3 linked regions of the Notamacropus eugenii genome follow. The protein of the gene in region 3 purifies or fractionates together with the protein of the main gene of each other region. This does not show direct contact. Links are inferred from orthologs where the notes say so. Each region holds a gene or a part of one and is shown on either strand. Other genes may lie near its edges. The genes, in order: CNNM4, CNNM2 and PTP4A2.

Region 1 (7,031 bases), on a different chromosome or scaffold from region 3:
CCTTCTGATTTCTCCCCCAAGCAGGGTCTGCTCTGTGAGCATTCCTCAAGTCAGATATCATCTTCTTGCTCAACAGAATGAGAGAGAACTGGGGCAAGTGTCGTCAAACAGACTGGCTCAGGTCAGGCCCTGCCACAAGCACTACTGTCATCCTGTTTTCTGGGCCATCCAATAATGCCCTACCAGATGCAGAGGTGGTCATGAAACCCAGGAGGCCCACCTGCCAGTCCATTCATTGTTCTTCCTGTCTCTTCCTCCTCCCTAATCTTAATGCCTAATTGGATAAGCAAAAGAAATAGAAGTGTCAGCATTTTGGGGGTGGAGTGAGGGAGATAGAATAGATTTTGTGCCTATAGAGTCTGGAAAATATCTCTGATATGGGGGCCCTTAAGACAAAAAGTCAGAGTTCCTCCCTAAAATCTGTGCTTCTACGTGTTTTGGAGCTCCCTTGGACTGATTTTGTCTGGGCAGATCCACTTTGAATTCATACTTCAAGTGTCTAGTACTCAATAAATGATTATTCAATGACTGAGTGCAAAGGTTTAGTCTGGACAGTTCAGGGAAGTGACTTTTTTGATCTAAACTCCCATTTCTCATTCTTCATCTGGTCTGCCCACCTGCAGACCTGCAATCTGTCATAGTCTTCAACTGCCCCACAGAATTTGGGGAGAGGAAGGAGAGAGAGGGAGAGAGAGAGGGAGAGGGAGGGAGAGACAAAGGGATAGAGAGAGAGAGAGAGAGAGAGAGAGAGAGAGAGAGAGAGAGAGAGAGAGAGAGAGAGAGAGAGAATGAGGGAGGGAGAGAGAGAGGAGAGAGAGAGAAATTAATTAGGGTGCTGGTAATGGCAGTCCACACTCCTTTCCTCAAAGCACTAGGAATAGTATGAATAGCTTCTATTGATGAAACACTTTGCAAATTACAAAGTACTTTATACCCAAGTAATCCAGGAATGAAATCCCCATTGCACAGATAGAATGTGAGCTGACTGACTCCTTAAGGGCAGGGAGCCTTTCTTTGTAATCCCAGCTTTAGCATTGTGCTTGGTAAATGCTTAATAAATACTTGCTGACTGAGTTCACATGGAGGTTTTGCCACTTAGCACTTTGTACCTATATGACCTCAAGCAAATCCCTTAAACTCTCTACACCTCAGTTTCCTCACCCTGTAGAATGGGAGTGGTCAGTGATTTGGAGAAGATGGCCTGTGAGGCCTCTTCTAGCTCTAGATCTGATTCCATGATCCTAATAGTAACACATGAATGAGGGAAGCTTGTCCTGATCCTGGATTAGCCCAGTGAAATGGACTAGGTTTTCCTAATTCTGACACTATCTAACCAAGGTGGCCCACTCCAATTTTGCTACTGCAAAGAGTCACTGGTCTCACTGATGTGGTTAATCCCTCTACAGAAACAGGTGACCAACCCATCCATGCTTCTTGATTCAATGGGACTTGTCCAAATTCTGCTATAAGCTTAACAGAGTGGGACCTTCCTGGAGTTTTCATGACATGGGGAGGAAAAAGTGGGAAAGGAAATCCTTTTACCAGTTATTCCTTAAGTGTAATTTTGATGGACATAAATCACATTAAAAGTGAACTATTAACCTGGAAAGAAAAGGGGGTAAGCTGTAATTGTGTGGAAATTTGACCAGTCCTAGAGAGGAGCTGTAAGGGAACCTTGATAAATGGGATACTTGAGGTAATTTTAGTCTCCCTGACTTGTGGCCCTTTTCTAGAGGGATTTGTTTATATTAATATTGCAAGCATACATTATGTTGGAAAGGAAAACAGAAAATACATTGGAATTTTGGGCAGGCTGAGAAAAAAGAGCCTAATCTCTAGGAGGGTAGTGACCAGGCATTATCAAATTTTTTATCTACCCCAGCTCCTAACTCAGTTCTCTATTCACAGCAGATGCTTAATAGATATTTGTTGAATGTAATGAAAAGAATGAGGAAACGCGAAAGAAAACATTGCAATGTTATGGGAAAAGTGCTGGACTGAATGTCAGGAGGCCTGAACTTTAATCTGTCTTTTCTCCTTTCTCTTAGTTGTAAAAGAAGGATTTTATAGGTCCTCTAGTCCACTCCTCCGTCCTCCTAGAGAGGTAGAGTGAATTGTCCAAAGTCACCCAGGAGATTAATAGCTGCTCTAGATGTTCAGCATTTTTCCCCCTCCAATATGACTGCTTTGTGTTTGGGCATGTGCAGGCATCCATAAGAAGCAGGAAAATCCTTAGAGTCATCAATTGCCCCATTTTACAGATGAGGGAACTGAAGCCTAGCAAGAAGTAGTATAGCATCATAGAGGTGTCCCTTCTAGGATCCACATGAGGTGATGTAGACTCAGATGACCTGGTTTCAAATCCTGCTGCTCCTCTGGTTTACTTGTATAATCCTGGGCCTCAGTTTCCTTATCTGTCAGCCAACTAGCACTTATTAAGCACCTGCTATGTGCCAGGTACTATGCACCAGGGACTTAAAAACAAATAAAAAAAAGTCCCTGATTTAAGGTTCTCATAATCTAATAGGGGAGACAACATGTAAATGTTGCTGTTCAGTCATTTTTAGTCACATGACTCTTTGTGACCCCACTTGGAGTTTTCTTGACAAAAATACGGAAGTGGTTTACCATTTCCTTCACCAGCTTGTTTGATAGATAAGGAAACTGAGGCAAACAGGGTTAAGTGGACTTGCTCAGGGCCACCCAGCTAGTAAGTGTCTGAGTTGAGATTTGAACTCCTGAACATACAAATAGCTATCTACAAATAAGGCACGGGCAGAGTACATTGGAGATAATGAACGAGGAAGGCACTAGATAAAGGGGACGGAAGAGGCATACCGTAGAAGGTGAGATTTTAGCTGGGACTTGAAGGAGGCCAGGGGAGCCAGGAGACAGATGGAGGAGGGAGAGAAATCCATCACCCGTGAAAATGTCTGAGGACGTGAGAGTGTCTAGTTCAGAAACAATAAGGTTTATGACGCTGGACTGAGGGGAGTGTGTGTGTGTGTGTGTGTGTGTGTGTGTGTGTGTGTGTGTGTGTGCGTGCGTGTGTGTGTGTGTCTGTGTGTGTGTGTGTGTGTGTGTCTGTGTGTGTGTGTGTGTGTGTGTCTGTGTGTGTGTGTGTGTGTGTGTGTGTGTGTGTGTGTGTGCAGATTATGAGACTTTGAACACCAAACATAGGATTTTATATTTGATCATGGAGATAACGGAGCCACTGGAGCTGTTTTGTTTGCTTTGGGGGTGGGGGGAGGTTGTGCGTGACCCGGTCAGACCTGTGTTTTAGGAAGTCAGTTTAAAAGCCATGTGGGGGATGGGTGGGCAGGGGGAGATACCGAAGGCAGCAGGCTCTCGGAATGGCCCTAGCTTGAACCTGGTGACTTCTAAGGCCTCTCCCACTTCTAGAGTTGTATGAATTTGGGATAGTTCTAAGGAGCAAAATCAAGACGTGGAGAGCGAGACGCCAACCTGTCCTAGGTTCAAATCCTAATCTTGTGACTTACACCCTGGGTGACCTTGGGCACTTCCCTCCGGGCCTCCCTCCCTTTCCTTATGTGTACAGCGAGGAGGCTGGACTAGATGACCTTTAATGTTCCTTTTCACCACTCCCTTCAAAAATCGTACGATCCCTGCCCAGCCTAGGTCCACCTTAAAAACCCAGACCCCCTTAAACCAGGGCAATAGGTGCCGGCATCCCCGAAGGGAGGGAAGAGAAGTAGGAAGGAGGAAGGGGGTTTAAAGTAGGCGGTGACATGCAAATGAAGTAGGCGTGGCTCCCGGCGGAGGGGGCGTGGGACCGGGTGTGTGTCTGTGGCCCTGAGGGGGCGGGCCGCCGGTGTGACGTCAGGCCCGCGGCCCGGGCAGTTGGCTCGGCGGCAGCGAAGCAGCAGGAGCGGCGGCGCTGAGCGGGGCCGCGCGGCGGGGGGCTGGGGGCCCTGGGGCGCGGCGGCGGCGGCAGCAGCAATATGGCGCCGGGCAGCGGGGGCGGGGGCCTGGGCCCGGGCCCGGCGGGAGGACGGGCCCGAGGGCGCCTCCTCCTGGCGGCGCTGGGACTGCTGCTCTGGGTCCGGGGTACCCGGGGCCAGGACGAGCCCAAAATCTTGGGCATGAGGCTGATAGGCTGCAACAAGACGTGCGGGACCAACCCGGAGGGCATCCTCTTCGTCTCCGAGGGCAGCCAGGTGAGGCTGAGGCTGTATGGCCTCAACCTGGACACCTTAAACCATGGCCACATCACCTTCACGGAGCTGGAGACGATGCAGGATGTCCACCAATCCAACTTCTGCATGGGGGTCACCAAGGACCTGATGGTCCACCAGCTGGTCAACCTGAGCAGGGACAACTCGAACGCGCTGCTGATCCTGGAAACCAAGTTCCTAAGGAGGAGTGAGAATGCGAGGCTTTACGGCCTGTGCACCTGGAGTGGGGGGAAGTGGCTGAGGTGGCCCGGCAAGGACTCCCTGGTCTTCCTCATGGAGGATAAGCGTAAGTTCCTGCCCCTCTGGCTGCACATTGTACTGGTCGTGGTGCTGCTGGTGCTCTCCGGCATCTTCTCCGGCCTCAATCTAGGTCTCATGGCCTTGGATCCTATGGAACTAAGGATCATACAGAATTGTGGCAAGGAGAAAGAGAGAAGGTATGCCCGAAAGATTGAGCCCATTCGAAGGAAGGGGAACTACCTTCTCTGTTCCCTGCTTCTGGGCAACGTGCTGGTCAACACTTCACTCACAATCCTTCTGGACAACCTACTGGGATCTGGAGTGGTAGCTGTGGCCTCCTCCACTATTGGCATTGTCATCTTTGGAGAGATTGTACCCCAGGCATTATGTTCCCGGCATGGCCTGGCTGTGGGGGCCAGCACAATCAATGTCACGAAATTGTTTATGCTAATTACCTTCCCCTTAAGTTTTCCCATCAGCAAGGTTTTGGATTATGTTCTTGGTCAGGAGATTGGTACAGTCTACAACAGGGAAAAGCTGATGGAGATGCTGAAGGTGACTGAACCATACAATGATCTGGTGAAGGAAGAGCTCAACATGATCCAAGGTGCCCTGGAACTGAGGACCAAAACGGTGGAGGATATCATGACCCAGCTCCATGACTGTTTCATGATCAGAAGTGATGCTATCCTGGACTTTAACACTATGTCAGAGATCATGGAAAGTGGGTACACTCGCATTCCAGTGTTTGAGGACGAACAGTCCAATATTGTAGATATCCTCTATGTCAAGGATCTGGCCTTTGTGGACCCAGACGACTGCACTCCTCTGAAAACCATCACCCGCTTCTACAACCATCCAGTTCACTTTGTCTTTCATGACACCAAACTGGATGCCATGCTAGAGGAGTTCAAGAAGGGTAAGACCTAGTGGACTATTAAGTCTTTTTGTGAAATCTTGTTATGCCTGCTGTGACAGATTCTGTTTGTATGTAGCCTGTGCTCTCTTCTCCATCACCTCCTGTTACTCTGAGAGACTGCCTCTGGGATGAACTAAAGCATTTAGGAGAATCTATCCCTTGTTTCATTACTTCAGGTGGTGGAATGGGGAGAGTTCCAAATAACATTTTGAGGGCTTTAAAAATTCAGTGGAATGCAGGCAGATTATTCAGTGTTTGGAATAGGAGTGTCATAGCTTCCTAAGCCCAAGACATCAGCCTCTCTTCATTGGTCTTTTAGGCATATTTAATGGGCCTTCTCTTGCTCTGTACTTTTCCGACTCATCAGTTCTTGGCTACCTCTCAAGAGGCTGACTGTAAAGGCAATAGGAGAGTTTTACTCACCAGTCCCAAACCTAATGCACACACATCCCCTTCCTTCCATCAAAGCTTTTATCCAGGCTCAAGCTACACTGTCAAGAAGTCATTTATGAACTAGAACATATCTTAGGGTTTCAGCAGCAAGGAAACTGAAAGGGAATAAAACGGGCATTTTTGGAGGAGATGAAAACAAAATTTTCACCTGAACCAGGCAGGCTTTTTCTGAGGTTTCCATTTGCAAATCACAATTGTCTCTGGTTCCAAGTCCCCTTTCTGGTAGGTAGGGACACCTCCTTTTGGACTCATTTCCTTTCCAGTCAAGGGAGCCATAGATAGATTGAATTGCACCCATTATCCTTGGAATGACTTCTGAACCTTAGTTTGGGACTGGAAGGGAGGTAGGACCCAGTAAGTTATTTCTGGAACATGGAGCAGAGTCAAGTTGGGGAACTGACTGGATTGCTGGTGTCGGGCTAGAACGGGGAGCAGCAGGAGCTGGGGTGATGGGTAGTACTCAGAATTATTTGGTTCTGTTGCTGAAGTGTGACCACCCCACCCCTACCCCCTTTGTGATTTCTTATCTGGTTATTCCCTTACCCCACCCCACCCCCCAGTCACCCTACCAGCTTTCATTAAGTGATTACTGTTTACCAACCCTCCATAATGCCTCAGGATTCAAAGATAGGACTAAACAGTCCCTTGCTTTAAAGAGTTTACATTCTAAAGGAGACCACATGTAAATAGTAATGTCCATAGGCTCCCCTTTTCCTAGCATTAAACGTGCTTTTTGGTCTTGGGGGACAGCCAAGAAAAAGGCATGGAGTGGGGAGGGAGATGGAATGTTTTGATTTTTTTTCCAGGAACAGCAAGGAGACCAGTAACACTGGATCTTAGAGTATGTGGAGGAGATGGAAGTGTAAGAAGACTAGAAAGGTAGGAAAGGGGCCAGGTTACAGAGAGCTTTAAAAGGCAGGATGCATCTTAGGTGGGACTTGGACCCAGCTAACTAGGTCTTCCTGACTCCAAGGATGCTCTTTTATATAGTTAGGCAGATTAAATCCACATTTTGGGATAGAGGTTTGGATTTGGAGTCAGAGGGCCTGAGTTAAAATTTTGATTCTGCCACTAATTATGATTTAACAATCCACTCCATTTTCATGAACTTCTATAAAATGAGAGGGTTGGACTAGGTGAGGGGTGGGCAAGCTTTTTTGTATGGCCTGTGAACCATTTTTACATTTTGAAATAAAGTTTCAAATAAAGTTATTGCATTTTAA
Region 2 (7,357 bases), on a different chromosome or scaffold from region 3:
TAATGAGCTTCAGACGACTTTGGTAAGTGTAAAAATCCTCTTTTCCTTCTAAGAAAGCCCATTTACATTTCAGAGGCACCGTAATTCTTTGTTTTTCAGCTAACAAAAGGTCAGTGTGACCCTTCTGATATATATATATATATGTATATATATATATATATATATATATATACACATATATGTATGTATGTATATATGTGTATATATATATATATATATATATATATATACACATATATGTATGTATGTATATATGTATATGTATACTGCTAGGGAATCCCACATTCCTAGTTATACCACTAATAACAACTGATGTTTTACAGATCTTATGGATTGCCAAGCACTTTAGTATATTATCTCATTTGAACTTCACAACAACCATGTGAGGTAGGTGTTATTCACCTTTTATAGATAGATGGTTGGGGAGTGTGTATTCATTCTTCGTTGCCGAAGAAGACCATGCCATCAGAGAAATAATGACATGACTTTGCACCTGACTTTGTTTTGAGTGAGTGAGGGCTGTGTAGGTCACCAGCTTCACTTCTCCTCCAGAGCCATATGAATCCAGTGACCAGATATTCATCAGGATGACAAGAGATGACCCAGGATGAGGCAACTGGGGCCAAGTGACTTGCTCAAGGTCATACAGCTAGTAAGTGTCAAGTGTCTGAGGTGAGATTTGAACTCAGGTCCTCCTGACTCCTGCACTAGTGCTCTATCCACTGAACCACCTAGCTGCCCATTTTACAGATAAGGATAAGGCTGAAAGAATTGTAATGACTCGCTCCAAAGGACTGGCAAGTGTCTGGGGTTGGATTTTTTTGTACCCCCAGGTCTTGCTTAAGTTCAGTGCTTGATCTACTCTTATTGGTCCCCCCCAACCCACCTTCGGCCCCACTACCATTGACCCCAATACTGTACTGCCAGTTTAGTTTTGAAAAGTGCAAGAAATCTATTTGGCACTTCTGTCCCACACCTGACTTGTTTTGGAAGGGGTATACTTAACATTTACAAGTCTTCAAATCCTCTTCTCTTATAGGTATCTTGCACCAATTCTGGCTTTGCAGCTATGAAGGGGCAGCTAGGTGGCGCAGTGGATATATCAAGTGCTGTTCCTGGAGTCAGAAGAATTTGAGTTAAAATTTACCCTCAGACACTTACTAGTTGTGTGATCCTGGGCAAGTCACTTAACCCTGTCTGTCTCAGTTCCTTCACCTGTAGAATGAACTGGAGAAGGAAATGGCAAACTACTCCATTATCTTTGCCAGAAAACCTCAAATGGGGTCACCAAGAATTGAACAAAACTGAAATGACTGAACAAAACAAGGTATGAAGGGAGATTTGGGGACCTTGGGGTTTCCTCAGGGGAAATCTCTCTTGTACCCAGCTTCTTATATTCTTATGTTCTCTTACACTAAAAATCTCCTCTTCTGCCTCACTGGAGCCTTGGAAGCTGTGCCAATGGAGCACAATCTCTTGTAGTTACTACCAAACTGAAAAGATTTTAAGAATGGGCTTGGTACAACCAGGCTAGAAAAGGGTAAAGATCATCACCAGAAGCTAATCGAGAGCTTCTATGATGGATTTTTAATAATAGTGGTTCTCCACAGTCATCTACTGTTTACTCCTTAGTAGCGGGGTAGGCAGTCAACAAGCATTTATTAAGCATCCACTAGGTGCCTGGCACTGTTGTTGGAAGGACTGACCAGTGAAATTCTGAGATCTTTATGTTATCAAAGTATTTGATCTAAGTCAGGAATTTTTAACCTTTTTAAAAAACTGTTGTAGACCCCTCTGGCAGTCTGGTGAAGCCTATGTGGCACTTCTTAGAACATTATTTTTAAATGCATATCATAAGATACATAACAATGCAAAGGAAGCAAATTATATTGAAATATTATCAAAATGTCTTTTTAAAAACACGTTCATAGACCCTCAGGTTGAGAACTCCTAAGCTGTTTGTGGGTAACTAATTGGTAAAGTGCTTGGAGTCAGGAAGACTAATCTCTCTGAGTTCAGATCTGGCCTCAGACTCTGTGTGACCCTAGACAAGTCACTTAACTGTTTGCCTCAGTTTCCTCATCTGTAAAATGACCTGGAGAAGGAAATGGCAAACCACTTCAGTATCTCTGCCAAGAAAACCCCAAAAGGGGTCATGAAGAGTCAGACATGGCCGAAACTCAACAATAACATGCTATTTCTAAAGCTGCATTAGTCCAAAATTCCTATGCCCTCATTTCTGGTAATTTTTATTTAATTACTTACCTTCGACCATTGACAAGTATCCCTAAAACTCCTTAGTTTTGTTTTTAAATGACATATCTTAGTTTTACTCTTTCAGAGAAAGACAACATTCTGTGTCATGTCTGCCAATCAAATTTTCTCCTTTTAACCTTTGATTTCAAATTCAAGTTTTAAGCATGAAGATGTGTGTAGGTCTGTGTGTGTGTGTGTGTGTGTGTAGGTTTGTGTGTGTGTGTGCGTGTGTGTGTGTTTTGGGGGGAGGGAACCAGGTTAGAATGAGGAAAAATTAATGGAACCAACTACTGTGATATCTTTGGAGCCCTTAAATAAAACTGACCCCGCTCCAAAAAACTTAGCAAAACATATTTGATTTGTGTGCAACATGATCCATCCATCCAAAGGTACAAAATGCACTTGTTTGTTTGTTTTTTAAAAGCTCAAAAAAAGTGCCTTCTTTTAATTTGACAGCCATTCATTGAACACTTATGTGGCAGGCAGGCATTGTACTATACACTAGACATTGCAATAAAATGCAAGTATTACCTCCTTTTACAGATGAGGAAACTGAGAGTCGGTTAACCACTTTCCCAAGGTCATACATAAAGTGGCAGAGGTCAAACCTCCACCTTTCCAGTTCACGGGGCTTCAGCCTGAATCCACACTTCTCAGGTGTGGAGTCCCGAGCTCCTCTGGTGAACATTTAAACCTTCAGTGGTCTGGATCTAGCCTAAATTTTCAAGCTTGTTATCCACCTTCCTCTCCTCACATTGTAAGCCCCAGGCATATACTACCCATCTCCCACCTCTGGGTCTTAGCACTGGCTGTGGTCCTCCATACCTGGAACACTCTCCCCCTTCATTTCCATCCTTAAGATTCCTAGCTTCCTTCAAAGTTTAAAGTATTACTTGATACTTCTAACACTTTAATTAATCTAATAAACCCATTTATTAAGATTATAACTTGTTGATGAATTAAAATTAAAGTGATTTTAATACTGTTAAATTAATACTTGATACTAAAAGACCTCCTCCACGGGAACCTCTCCACCTTCGCTCTCCACCTCCCCCGACTTTATACCTTGTACATGTTTTATTCACTCATACACAAGGTAGAGAGGAGCATTTGCAGCTGGCACAGAAAACATCTGCAGGACAGCTTCGCTGACGGCAGGCGGTGCTGCGGTTCTACCAGCCGCCCGAGGGCGCCTTCTCATGCCAACCTGCTTCTCCCACCGGCGGGCACTCGAAAACACGTGGCTTTGGACGGAGCTGGCCGGTCAGCTGTAGACGATGCTCCTCTGCCCCTTTGCAGTACGCCGCCGTTCACGCCAAGGCAGTGGGATGCCCTGGCACGACCCTGATGCCCTGGGGCAATAAAACGACGTTTAGCTTCACGCACGCTTCCATCGTCCCTTCTCCAAACTGGCTTCTCTAACCCTGCAGAGGCCCCCTGCCAGAGGTGCCACAGCGGGCTCAAGCCCACGCTGCGCCTGCATGAAGTAACGCGGGACAAGCGATGAAAGGACCGGCGGCCAAGGCAGGTACTTGCTCGAGCGAAGAGCAAAATAGCCCCGAGTCTGACACTGCACCTGCAGAACGTGCACGAGCCTCCGTCTACTATCAAGTTCCCAAAGGAGAGCGCCTGGCTGGAGGCTTGCTGAAATTTCATTGGCTAGGCACTGGGCAGCCCCACCTTTTTCCGTCGACCTCGGATCTCTGATTGGTTCATGGGTTCCCACTGGCCACACCTCCTCCCTTCACACATACACAAGAGTCACGCGCCTTGCAGTTGGAAACTTGGCGTGGTGAGGAGGCCGGGGGGGAAAAAAAGTCGCCCCACCCCCTTACCTTGCTATTGGCCCATGGGGCAGCCGGTGGCCACGCCTTCATTCCAGCCCCCTAACTGAGAGGGCGGGTGCTCGCTCCTGAGTGGTCGGCCTAGCTGCCCTTCAAGTTGGAGCCCGACCGCTCCCGCCTCCTCCCCCTCCCCACTCAGGCTAGAGGTCCAGTATTTGGCCCGGGCAGTGTCAGTGTCAGCGAGCGAAGGGGGCAGTGAGGCGCCGGGGGCGGACTCCCGGTGGCACCCCAGCTGAGGTGCCCGTGCCTGCGCCTCGGGCAGCCGGAGAGAAGGATGAAGCCGCAGCCGGAGCAGCCCCCTTATGATTGGCTGTGGCGGTTGTAAGCCCGAAGTAAAGATGGCGGGCGGGCCGGTGGTCGCCGCACTGCCCACTTGGAAGATGGCGGCGCGCCGCAGCCCCAGTGCCCACGGCCGGGAGGTCCTGCGGGTGGTGGCGGGGCTGCTGCTGCTGCTGAGCTGCTGCTGCGGCGGGGGCAGCTGCGCGGGGGCCGGCGAGGCGGAAGAGACGGTGATCATCGGGTTGAGGCTGGAAGACACGAACGACGTGTCGTTCATGGAAGGGGGGGCGCTGCGGGTGAGCGAGCGCACCCGGGTCAAGTTGCGGGTCTACGGGCAGAACATCAACAACGAGACCTGGTCTCGCATCGCCTTCACCGAGCACGAGCGGAGGCGGCAGGGTCACGGGGAGAGGGGGGCCGGGGGCCCCCTGCAGCCGGAGCCGGAGAGCGGCCCCCAGCGCTGCGGCATCCGCACCTCGGACATCATCATCCTGCCCCACATCGTCCTCAACCGCCGCACGTCGGGCATCATCGAGATCGAGATCAAGCCTCTGCGCAAGACGGAGAAGAGCAAGTCCTACTACCTGTGCACGTCGCTCTCCACCCCGCCCGTGGCGGCCGGCGGCCCCGGCTCGGCGGGCAGCCCCGTGGGGGGCAAAGGCGGCCGCGGCGTGGCGGGGCTCCCTCCGCCCCCGTGGGCAGAGACCACCTGGATCTACCACGATGGCGAGGACACGAAGATGATCGTGGGCGAGGAGAAGAAGTTTCTGTTACCTTTCTGGCTGCAGGTGATCTTCATCTCGCTGCTGCTCTGCCTCTCGGGGATGTTCAGCGGCCTCAACCTGGGGCTGATGGCGCTGGACCCCATGGAGCTGCGCATCGTGCAGAACTGCGGCACGGAGAAGGAGAAGAATTACGCCAAGCGCATCGAGCCCGTGCGCAGGCAGGGCAACTACCTGCTGTGCTCCCTGCTGCTGGGCAACGTGCTGGTCAACACCACCCTCACCATCCTGCTGGACGACATCGCGGGCTCCGGCCTGGTGGCCGTGGTGGTGTCCACCATCGGCATCGTCATCTTCGGGGAGATAGTGCCCCAGGCCATCTGTTCCCGGCACGGCCTGGCGGTGGGCGCCAACACCATCTTCCTCACCAAGTTCTTCATGATGATGACCTTTCCCGCCTCCTACCCGGTCAGCAAGCTGCTGGACTGCGTCCTGGGCCAGGAGATCGGCACGGTCTACAACCGCGAGAAGCTGCTGGAGATGCTTCGCGTCACCGACCCCTACAACGACCTCGTCAAGGAGGAGCTCAACATCATCCAAGGGGCGCTGGAGCTCCGCACCAAGACTGTGGAGGACGTGATGACTCCGCTGCGGGACTGCTTCATGATCACGGGAGAGGCGATCCTGGATTTCAACACCATGTCCGAGATCATGGAGAGCGGCTACACTCGAATCCCGGTCTTCGAAGGGGAGCGCTCCAACATCGTGGACCTCCTCTTTGTCAAGGACTTGGCGTTCGTGGACCCCGATGACTCCACTCCCTTGAAAACCATCACCAAGTTTTACAATCACCCTCTGCACTTTGTTTTCAATGACACTAAGCTGGACGCCATGCTGGAAGAGTTTAAGAAAGGTGGGCGAATTGATTACCTCCTTTTGGTTTACTTCTCCTTCCCTGCCCCTCCCCTCCTTCCCCTTCCTTTCTCTTCCCCTGCTCCCCCAAGGTGGTCAGTTGGACTGGAACTCTCCCTCCCTCCTTTCCGTCTTACTGCATAGCCGGGAGGGAGGAGGGAGGGGTGTGTAGATGTGTAAGGACTGGTCCAGGATTCCGAGCTGGGCTTTCAAAATGCACGGGGTCTTAAATCCGTTATTTCACCTTTTAAGGGCAGTCTCCAAGGAACGAATGCTGGGAGTTTGGGATGCGGATGATTATAAGTGCTTTTGCTGCCTTGCTTTGGTTCTGAATGGGGAGGCAGGATTGAGGCGATTTAGGCATGCTGAAGATGTTGACTTGACTTGTGGTTGCAGATTCTCTTGCCTAGTATTTTTAAATAGCTCTTGGGGACTAAGCCCAGCCATTTCCCAAACCCTCGACTTTCCAGGGTTTGGAAAATGCCATTTCTTGTGCTTCATTTCATGGTTGCGTTGAGCCCTTAGGGCAGAACAGGCAGGCTACACGGTACTTGGTTTTTCCTTCTCTGCTCTACCCATGGGGGAAGGGAGAGAGGGAGGTGATCCGAGTACCACAGAAAAATTGAGCCGCCTGGATGTGACCTGCTTCAGTGAGAGAAGAGCTTTTTAGAACCAGGTTAGTTATTAGCTTGTAATTTGGGAAGACCGAAGTTAACCTTTCACTAAGGTTATATCTTTGCTTAACTTTCTTGTCAATTTGTTTTCACGTTTACAGGAAACAACCAATAGAATTTCCAAAGGCAAATATGAGTCCTGCACAAAGCTTGACCCTTAACCTGCTGCATCCCTTTATTAATAGTTGTTCGTTTAGATCTTAGTAATTCTGACCTAATAAATTTTCTTTTTAACCTTGACTGCCCGGTACATTCAGGGGAAGTATGTTAGCAATGCTGGGATCCAAGGTTGTTTGTAGGAAAAAGTAGCCTATATGCTCATGGTATCTTATGTCTTTTTATCATGCAAGGACTTGGTAGCCAGAATCTTTTCTTGTAAAGATAGTAGTACTGGGTTTAAAATAAAAATCAGTTAGTTTATCTTGTAGTGTTATCTTGAAAACAAAGATGCTTGGTTTCTTATGAAAATAGTCTGAGGGCATATATGTTAGCTTTTAATAACTGGCTCCTAACAACACTTTTATTTATTCCTGGAAATACATTTTCTATTTCTGACAGTGTCCCAGCCAAAAAAGTTCACTTTAACGGGTGGCTTCCTAGTTGTGAGAATCAGAAATATTGACCCACCCAGTATATTACTTAATTCCATTTTCCAGGTTGAATTAATACT
Region 3 (7,388 bases):
ACTTGTTACAAGGGTAGTTTTTTCTTTCTGTCTTTAACCAGAGGGATATTTAAGCAAGAAAGAGAGCAATAGTGATGCCTCCCCCAACCCCCCCCCCCAAAAAAAAGCCAAATAGCAAGAAGCCTAAACAGGCAGTTTTGAAAGTAAAGTAGAATTTATAAAATACTTTTTTAAAAAAGTAACCATACAAAATAGATTTTTCACTTTTCTATGACAATACTTTTTATATTCTGCTACGTATATGGAAATGCCCTTTGTCACAGAAATTCAAAATTTTAGCAATTTACCTAATAATCCAGGAGTCAAATGAGACTGCTAAAAAATTATTTTTGGCACTATATTGAATCAGCACTTTAAAATTTTTAAATAAATTTTAAAAAGATCACATACTAAAGAATACAAAGAGATTACAGGTACCTTTAGTAACCAGATTAATGAAATCACTGGAATGCTGAATTAAATTTAACAACATCAAACATATGAAAGCTCATAAAAGGGATCAACTTTACCACTGTTATACAAACTTAATTTCTACTGGAGGATAAAAAGACTACATGATATTGTCACGTGACAATTTTCATGAGGGGCGACCACATATTGTCAAAACTCTCTCAGTACCGTACCACTTTCCATGTATGCACCTGACAAATACTCTAAGTACTCTATAAAGTAAAGGTGATGTATTACTACTTTCATTAGTATTTAGGTAAGTGAAAGGGAAGTTGGTTTTTAGTTCAGTAATAGCCAATGCTTTATTGTCAGATTTAGTTATCTAAGAAATCTAATCATGACACAACTTCTCAGACCTAACACAGTGTCATCATCTATGCTGATTACTTTCTAAGGTAAAGCTGCCTTCTGATCCTTCTGATTCTCCCTCTTGTCTCCCAAACTATCAAAAAATTAAAAAGGAATAATTTTGTACTTATAGAAGAAATATATTATCAAATGTAACTTATGAAGAGCTGATGGAAATTACTTCCAGTTAGATTTAAATGAAAGCTGAATATCACATTTATTAAAATCCAAAGAAAAATGCAAATTTCCACCTTCTTGAGATAAATAGGGACTTTTAGTTCACATGTATTTGGTAAAAAATGTCCTGCAATTCTAGTCTTTTTAGATGAATTAAAATTTTACCAATTTACTAATAATCCAGGAGTCAAATGAGATGGCTAAAAATTATTTTTTGGCACTATATTGAATCAGCAATTCAAAAAAACAATTTCAACTTTTAGCAATCTAATTTGGCTTTGCTGTGTACAAACTTGGCCTGTATAACTATATCAGTATTTAGATTTACTTAATAGTGGAAAATTATAAATACTACACACTCACTAGAACCTGGATTCCTTCTTTTTCAACTGGAGCTTTATCATACGTAGCATCACAAACTCGGACCAAAGTTGTCACACCATACTTCTTAAGTTCCTTTAAAGAAAAACAAATACAAGTATATTTGCTATCTAAGGTTTAAACAAAAGTTTAAAAAAGAACTGAAGGAATGCTATAGATTATCTAATGAAGCCTGTTCACTTTATAGATGAAGGAGCTGAGGCCTAGAAGGAAGAAATTACTTGCCCAAGATCATTCATATTAGTTCAGTTTAATGCAACAACCATTTATTTCTTAGGTGTCCATTATGTGCAAGGCACAATGCTAAGTATACAAAGATGAAAAAGGACACAATGCTGACTTCAAAGAGCTATGGATCAAGTAGGGTAGAGGTGAGACCATACACCAGGTTACCTGACTCCTAATCCAGAGCTCTTCCCTCTAATAGCACTTTTCTGAAACTCTACTTTAGAAAAGCTGTGAGGTATGGCAGAAGATAGCAAAGTACAATCACAGCCTGGCTCCCTGCTCCTCTATATGTTCTTCGTTCTACTTTCACCTGGCATCTCTGCCACCATCACTTAACAGCTGCAAGAGATGAGGGAACCTCAAAGATGAGGTTCCTCTGCTATCTCTGAAGTGGATGGCCTACAACTAGAAACAACATGAGATAGTACTGAGCCAGATCTAAAAAGTCTTAGGTCACTGAAATGCCATGACTCCATTACAGGCCTCTGGTCAACTTGCATACCATGTGCAGCAAATAAAATCGCTTAAAGAATTACAAATATAAATAAATGAGAACACTGATAGCCTGTAAGGAAAGTAAATCATCTACATAAATCATAGTATTATTAAAATGATTAATGGACTATTTTTAAAGCATAAATCCAGGAGATTTGAAACCACTCTATGGAATCAGCAATTAAAAAACTTTCAAAATACAGATAAAATTTCATTATAGTGAACTCTATAGGACTCAATCATATGCCAGTTGTATTCGTGTTAAAAAAAAAAAACAACAAACCATCGTACACTGAGAAAAATCATATTCTTAGTATTCAGGACACGGAAATTAAGGAGAACAGAAATTTGGCAACAAATTAGCCAATGAAAATAACACTCCAATTTCAGTAGGAACAGGAAGAGATTCTGCAAATATTAATACCCTGTCCCATACCTTCATTCCAATACTACCCCTGAGTTCTGGAGTCATCTTTGGGTGGCTGTTCTTCAGGTGAATGGTCCAGGGTTTTAAGGGAGCTTCAGGTCAGGGTACCTGGGAGTGGAAGGGCAATTGCTACTTGGAGACATGGAAAAGTATCAGTGATTGTTTTAAGACCAAGACCCAGAAAAGGCCATACTGGGTTAGATTGGAATCCTTGTGGGAGTCCTTTTCCAGCTCTAAAAGCCATGATTATGTTGTAAACAGGTCAAACAAGGCTTACAGCTATCCCTCATGGATGGAAAAAGCTTTGTGGTACAAGAACCTCTTTATAAAGACATTCACTATAATGGGTTTTTAAACCTACAAAATGAATCCCTAAAGTGGACTGCACCGCACTCTTACCTCTGTGAACTTGTTGAGTGTTGCATTGGTAGGATTGTGGGTAATCAGAAAACGCATGTTCTCATAAGAGATCTCCACAGGGGCTGGACGGTTCATTATGGCAGACAAAAAGTGTGTATGCGTGTGAGAGAAAGAGAGAGACAGGGGAGAGTAGGTATGTGTGGGTGTGTGTTTGAGGAAGAGAGATGGGAAAATGGGGGGAAAAAATCAATAACCCTTGAAACGTTTCACAGCAGAAAACATTAAAAAGACCACAAAAATGCCTATTATTGATCAGTCTTCTCTAGTCAGTTTGTTCCTTCCTTAAGGAGTTTCTTCAGGATAAGCAGATCTATTTAGAATCCACTGGAATTCAGATTCAACTTGGGCCTCAATGACTGCAGATGGTTACCTTCAACCTCCAAAATTCCAACTGCCTGCAACTTCAGCGACCTTTCCTACATTTAGGCACTGGTGAGGCAAGGTGAAAGTATAGACCCGCTCTGCACTTGTGTTTTCTTGATGCTTAACTTTGCTGGAGTCGTTAAAGGGAATATGCTTCCAATATGAAAAAAAATATAGATATATGCCAAATTTTTCTGAGGCCAATCTTGGTGTCCGGAGTCTTCAAGGCAATGTTAATTATGGCACATAGAAGCCTCAAGCTCACTTGTCAGCGAAAGCACTGTGCTGAGCCTGGCAGAAGTCTGCCTGCACGCTCAGAATCGCCATAAACGTGCGGAGTGAATTCCAACAGAGAACCTACAGGAAAGGAAAAAGGCGAAGTGTGTAAGTAGTCAGCTGACAGCATTATAGCACACAATGCTATAAAGAAATAAATTCAATTCAACAAGCATTGGGAATACAAAAGCCCACCTGCAGCTTCCATTCTAACAGTGGAAAACAGCATAAATACAATGCACTCTTTACTATTCATTCTAAGTTACCATAATAAACATGGAATTATAGAAGAGCACTGGATATACACAACTGGATATGCAGAAAACAAATTCTAAAATATATGTAGGTATACTTTGCTTTAACGAAGTTATTCATTAAAAAGTGCTGAGGAAACTATCAAATTTTTACATGTGTAATTCACTATTTAAAGTAATTTTACCTTCAGATGGATTCCTTCCATGATACAATCACCACCCCCTCCCCTCCCCTCCCCTCCCCTTACTCATGGCCCTTGCAAGTCAAGTTTTCATATATTTCCTATTTGTTTAAAGCAGATTACAAGAACTAGAAGACTGGGGAGAGGGATTCACACATTTATCCTTGAGACTGTAAACCTCTTTTACTCCCCACAAAATAACAACTGGCTCCCAACCAGAGTGACCACACCTCTTTTTTTTCTCATTTCACCTTTTAACAACTTCTGTTCCTACTTCACGGAGGCAAGAGTATAAAATCATAGAGCTGACATAAGGAAGTTTTACACCTCCATCACTAGCCTCCCCCCAAATTTTCACCAAAAAAACCCCAAAAAAAACAAAACAAGAAAAAAAGGCAAAGTTTTCCAACATTTTAAGTCAGAATAACTGTGCCAGGGGTCTGACATATGCACTTAGTTGGTTAAGACTATTCATTTTCTTTGAGCACTCTTAGGTCTGTTTGGTTTCCTCAACTAGAATATAAACTCCTCTAATGGGATGATGTTTTTCTTCCTGTCTCCCCGCTCAGCATACTCCTAGGGCAGATCTACAAGCCTTCTACCAGTTTTCAATAGTTGTGAACAAAAAAAACTCACTTCCCTTCAGCCCACCTGGTAATGAGACCCAAAGTTAACCAGACTGGCCGTCCCCTGGTGAACTTCACAGTCCTTCAAAACATCCTTTCCAAGGCAAGAGCACCCACCTGTGCCAAATGCAGCACACCCAGAGAGGAAGAACAGAGCCCACAGCCACATCTACTGTGATGAAGCACAATGGAAAACCCGCAGTGAACTTCCCACTCCTTAAGAATCCTTGGTTTTATCCATTCAGGTGCTCCTCGACTGACACTGAAGCCAAACTATGGATGGCTAGATGGACAAATAACCTAAGACGATTACGATGCTCCCAAAATTCATCACCCTGAAGCCGACCTCTGGTGACAGCTTTTCCCATCTGGGAGGATCCAGACATGGTTTCAACTTTCAATGTGGAAACTCCCATTTTTAACTACTAAACTTAAGAAAGTTGCCTGGCACACCAAAAAGTTAAGTGACCTGGATCCCAGAGCTAGTATGAGTCAGAGGCAGGACTTAAACCCATGTCTTTCTGACTCCAAAGCCAGTCCCCTTCCATCACCTGATGCCTCTCTCAAGACATTTATAAACTTATTTGTTAATTTATTCTCGCTAATATCCAAATTCTCTAAAAGGAAGGGAAAGAAGCAGCAAGGGGTTTTGCCCAATTAATAAATAAGAATAAAGTTCATAGGAAAGTAACAACATCATGCCCAGGAAAACCCTAATCTCCAAACACTTAAGCTAATTCTTTACTCAATCTTCTTTTATAATTTGTTTTAACTGCATGGATTCTGTTATCATTGAAAAAAGTACAAAAATAAAACATTCTTTAAATTTAGAAGACACAGTATCTCAAATGGCATTCATACCACTATCTTATCCATTAAAGGCATCAAACACTGCAAAAGCAAAAAGTTCTTAAACTTAAGGAGAGTGAAAACATACATACTACCACTCATACTCTTCTCAGGTATTTGTAATTTTAACACAAACCAAAAACATCAATCTCAAATCATCCAACCAGATCTGTCTTTAAAATACTGGCCACAGAATTACAGGATCCTAGATTTGGAAAGAACCTTAGAGATCACTAGATCCAATCCTTCATCAAGTGAAGAAACTGAGAGGGAGGGACAAGGGCAAGGTCATAAAGGTACTTGGAAGAACAGGGGTCAGTCTCCTAGAACCCAGAGTCTCCTGGCAGTGAGTCCAGAATTGTGAGTTAACAAGGTGTGTCAATTATCATAGGGAAAGGCTGGGAGAAGGGGGGAACAGCCCCCTCCCACAGAGAAGGAATTCATCACAATCTCTTTCATTGCAGTCTGTTTTCTTCACATATTTGCTAAAATTGTTCATCAGTTACTCTGTGAATGTACAATCATTCTTTTTATGTTATAAGAATAACTATTCAAAGCAGTTCACAGCAAAACACAAGGAAATTCTAACCTGCTTTGAAGCCCTTTGGTACCACAGATATCATCAAGGTTAAATGTGTCTGTCAATTGAGAAAAAAGCAATGAAAAGACTGCATTGTACTGATGGCCAAGCTTTAAAAGTAAAGACTCCAGAATTAAGTTTTCTACCTGGATACTAGCATTTGTCTGCTTGGAGAACAGCGAGCTTTCTCACATATTTCTTTTCCAACTCCCTTCTGGAAGGATCACTTCCAGGAACGATAATTTACTGTGACATTTTTTCCCTTAACATAGAGATCCCCAACACAAGAAGTCATGCCAAAAGAAAGTGTTTTATAAGTGTTCATAGACCCATGGTAATAAAATTAAGCTTCTCTTCGCTATCCCCTCACACCCCCAAAGAAGTGTTTGGCTACATCAGTGGTGAACCTTTTGCAACCTGTCAGTTCATTTAAACTAAGGCAAGTACCTTTGGAACTCATAATAATTCAAAGCAACAAGACTCTAAGAGAGCATGAACAATCTACTACAACTGGGAAGAACTCAAAAGTTGGAGACTCCCATGGTTCAGCAAATAGTTAGCACCTGTAAACGCTCCAGGAAGACTTTTAAAAGAAAGTTGTATTTTTGGCATTAATTTTGTTTTATCTATTTAGGGAGAGGGTAAAATTTAAAAATCTGTTCGATTGTTAAAGAGTCTGAATTACTTTAAAGTATCTGACAACCATCCTTTCAGTATTTATAATAACTTGAGATGGTGTGCTGTCAGATGGGCTTAACCAGGGCTTAAATTCATGAGGGAAAGTGGACAGTCAACAGTACAATACTATAAAGGATGCTCAATTAACCCGTTAAAGAAGGCCTGTTGGAAGCTACTCAGTGTCAGACAGTGACAAAAGTTTGTATAGATTTGGAAGGTAATGGCTAAGATAATGGGCCATAAACTACCTTATCAAAATTTTAAGATAAAAATAAGTATTTGATAAGTATATAAAAATGGGGGGAAAGGGGATCCTTAAGAAGAGAGAGGAAAGCAAACCTACACCTAGACTAAAGTCCTAGCTTAGTTATTATGTAACAAGGTCACTTAATAACTATTTCCTCATCTGTAAATTGTGTTGTTGTTCTACTTGATCTCTACGGGGTCCCTTACAGTTCTAACAATGTATATATGGGGACCAACCACAAAATCATTCAGTACTGTATCTGTTCCAGGAGGCAATGTTGTGTTGGAAATCAGATCTGGAGTCAGAAGACTTGGGCTTGAGTCCCAACTCTGCCACTTTAACTGGCTGTATGACCTAGGGCAAATCTCTCAATTTCTTTAATTTGTAATTTGGTATTAATCCTACTT

Evidence for each region.
Region 1: the proteins of PTP4A2 (region 3) and CNNM4 purify together in Homo sapiens (affinity purification with mass spectrometry; 6 studies listed by BioGRID and IntAct, counting the BioPlex papers as one, with this or other methods). This does not show direct contact. The link is inferred for Notamacropus eugenii from reciprocal best matches to the Homo sapiens genes PTP4A2 and CNNM4.
Region 2: the proteins of PTP4A2 (region 3) and CNNM2 purify together in Homo sapiens (affinity purification with mass spectrometry; 4 studies listed by BioGRID and IntAct, counting the BioPlex papers as one, with this or other methods). This does not show direct contact. The link is inferred for Notamacropus eugenii from reciprocal best matches to the Homo sapiens genes PTP4A2 and CNNM2.

Annotation. Positions count from the first base shown.
Region 1 is NC_092872.1:523,577,766-523,584,796, reverse strand, and holds the start of CNNM4 (metal transporter CNNM4), read left to right. Parts: upstream 1-3,947; 5' UTR 3,948-3,962; coding exon 3,963-5,355; intron 5,356-7,031. UniProt on the Homo sapiens protein: Probable metal transporter. The interaction with the metal ion chaperone COX11 suggests that it may play a role in sensory neuron functions. May play a role in biomineralization and retinal function.
Region 2 is NC_092872.1:181,110,590-181,117,946, forward strand, and holds the start of CNNM2 (metal transporter CNNM2), read left to right. Parts: upstream 1-4,257; 5' UTR 4,258-4,402; coding exon 4,403-6,014; intron 6,015-7,357.
Region 3 is NC_092876.1:77,910,218-77,917,605, reverse strand, and holds the start of PTP4A2 (protein tyrosine phosphatase type IVA 2), read right to left. Parts: upstream 3,038-7,388; 5' UTR 3,002-3,037; coding exon 2,906-3,001; intron 1,432-2,905; coding exon 1,339-1,431; intron 1-1,338. Other genes in the region: uncharacterized protein, read right to left, coding at 3,558-3,646.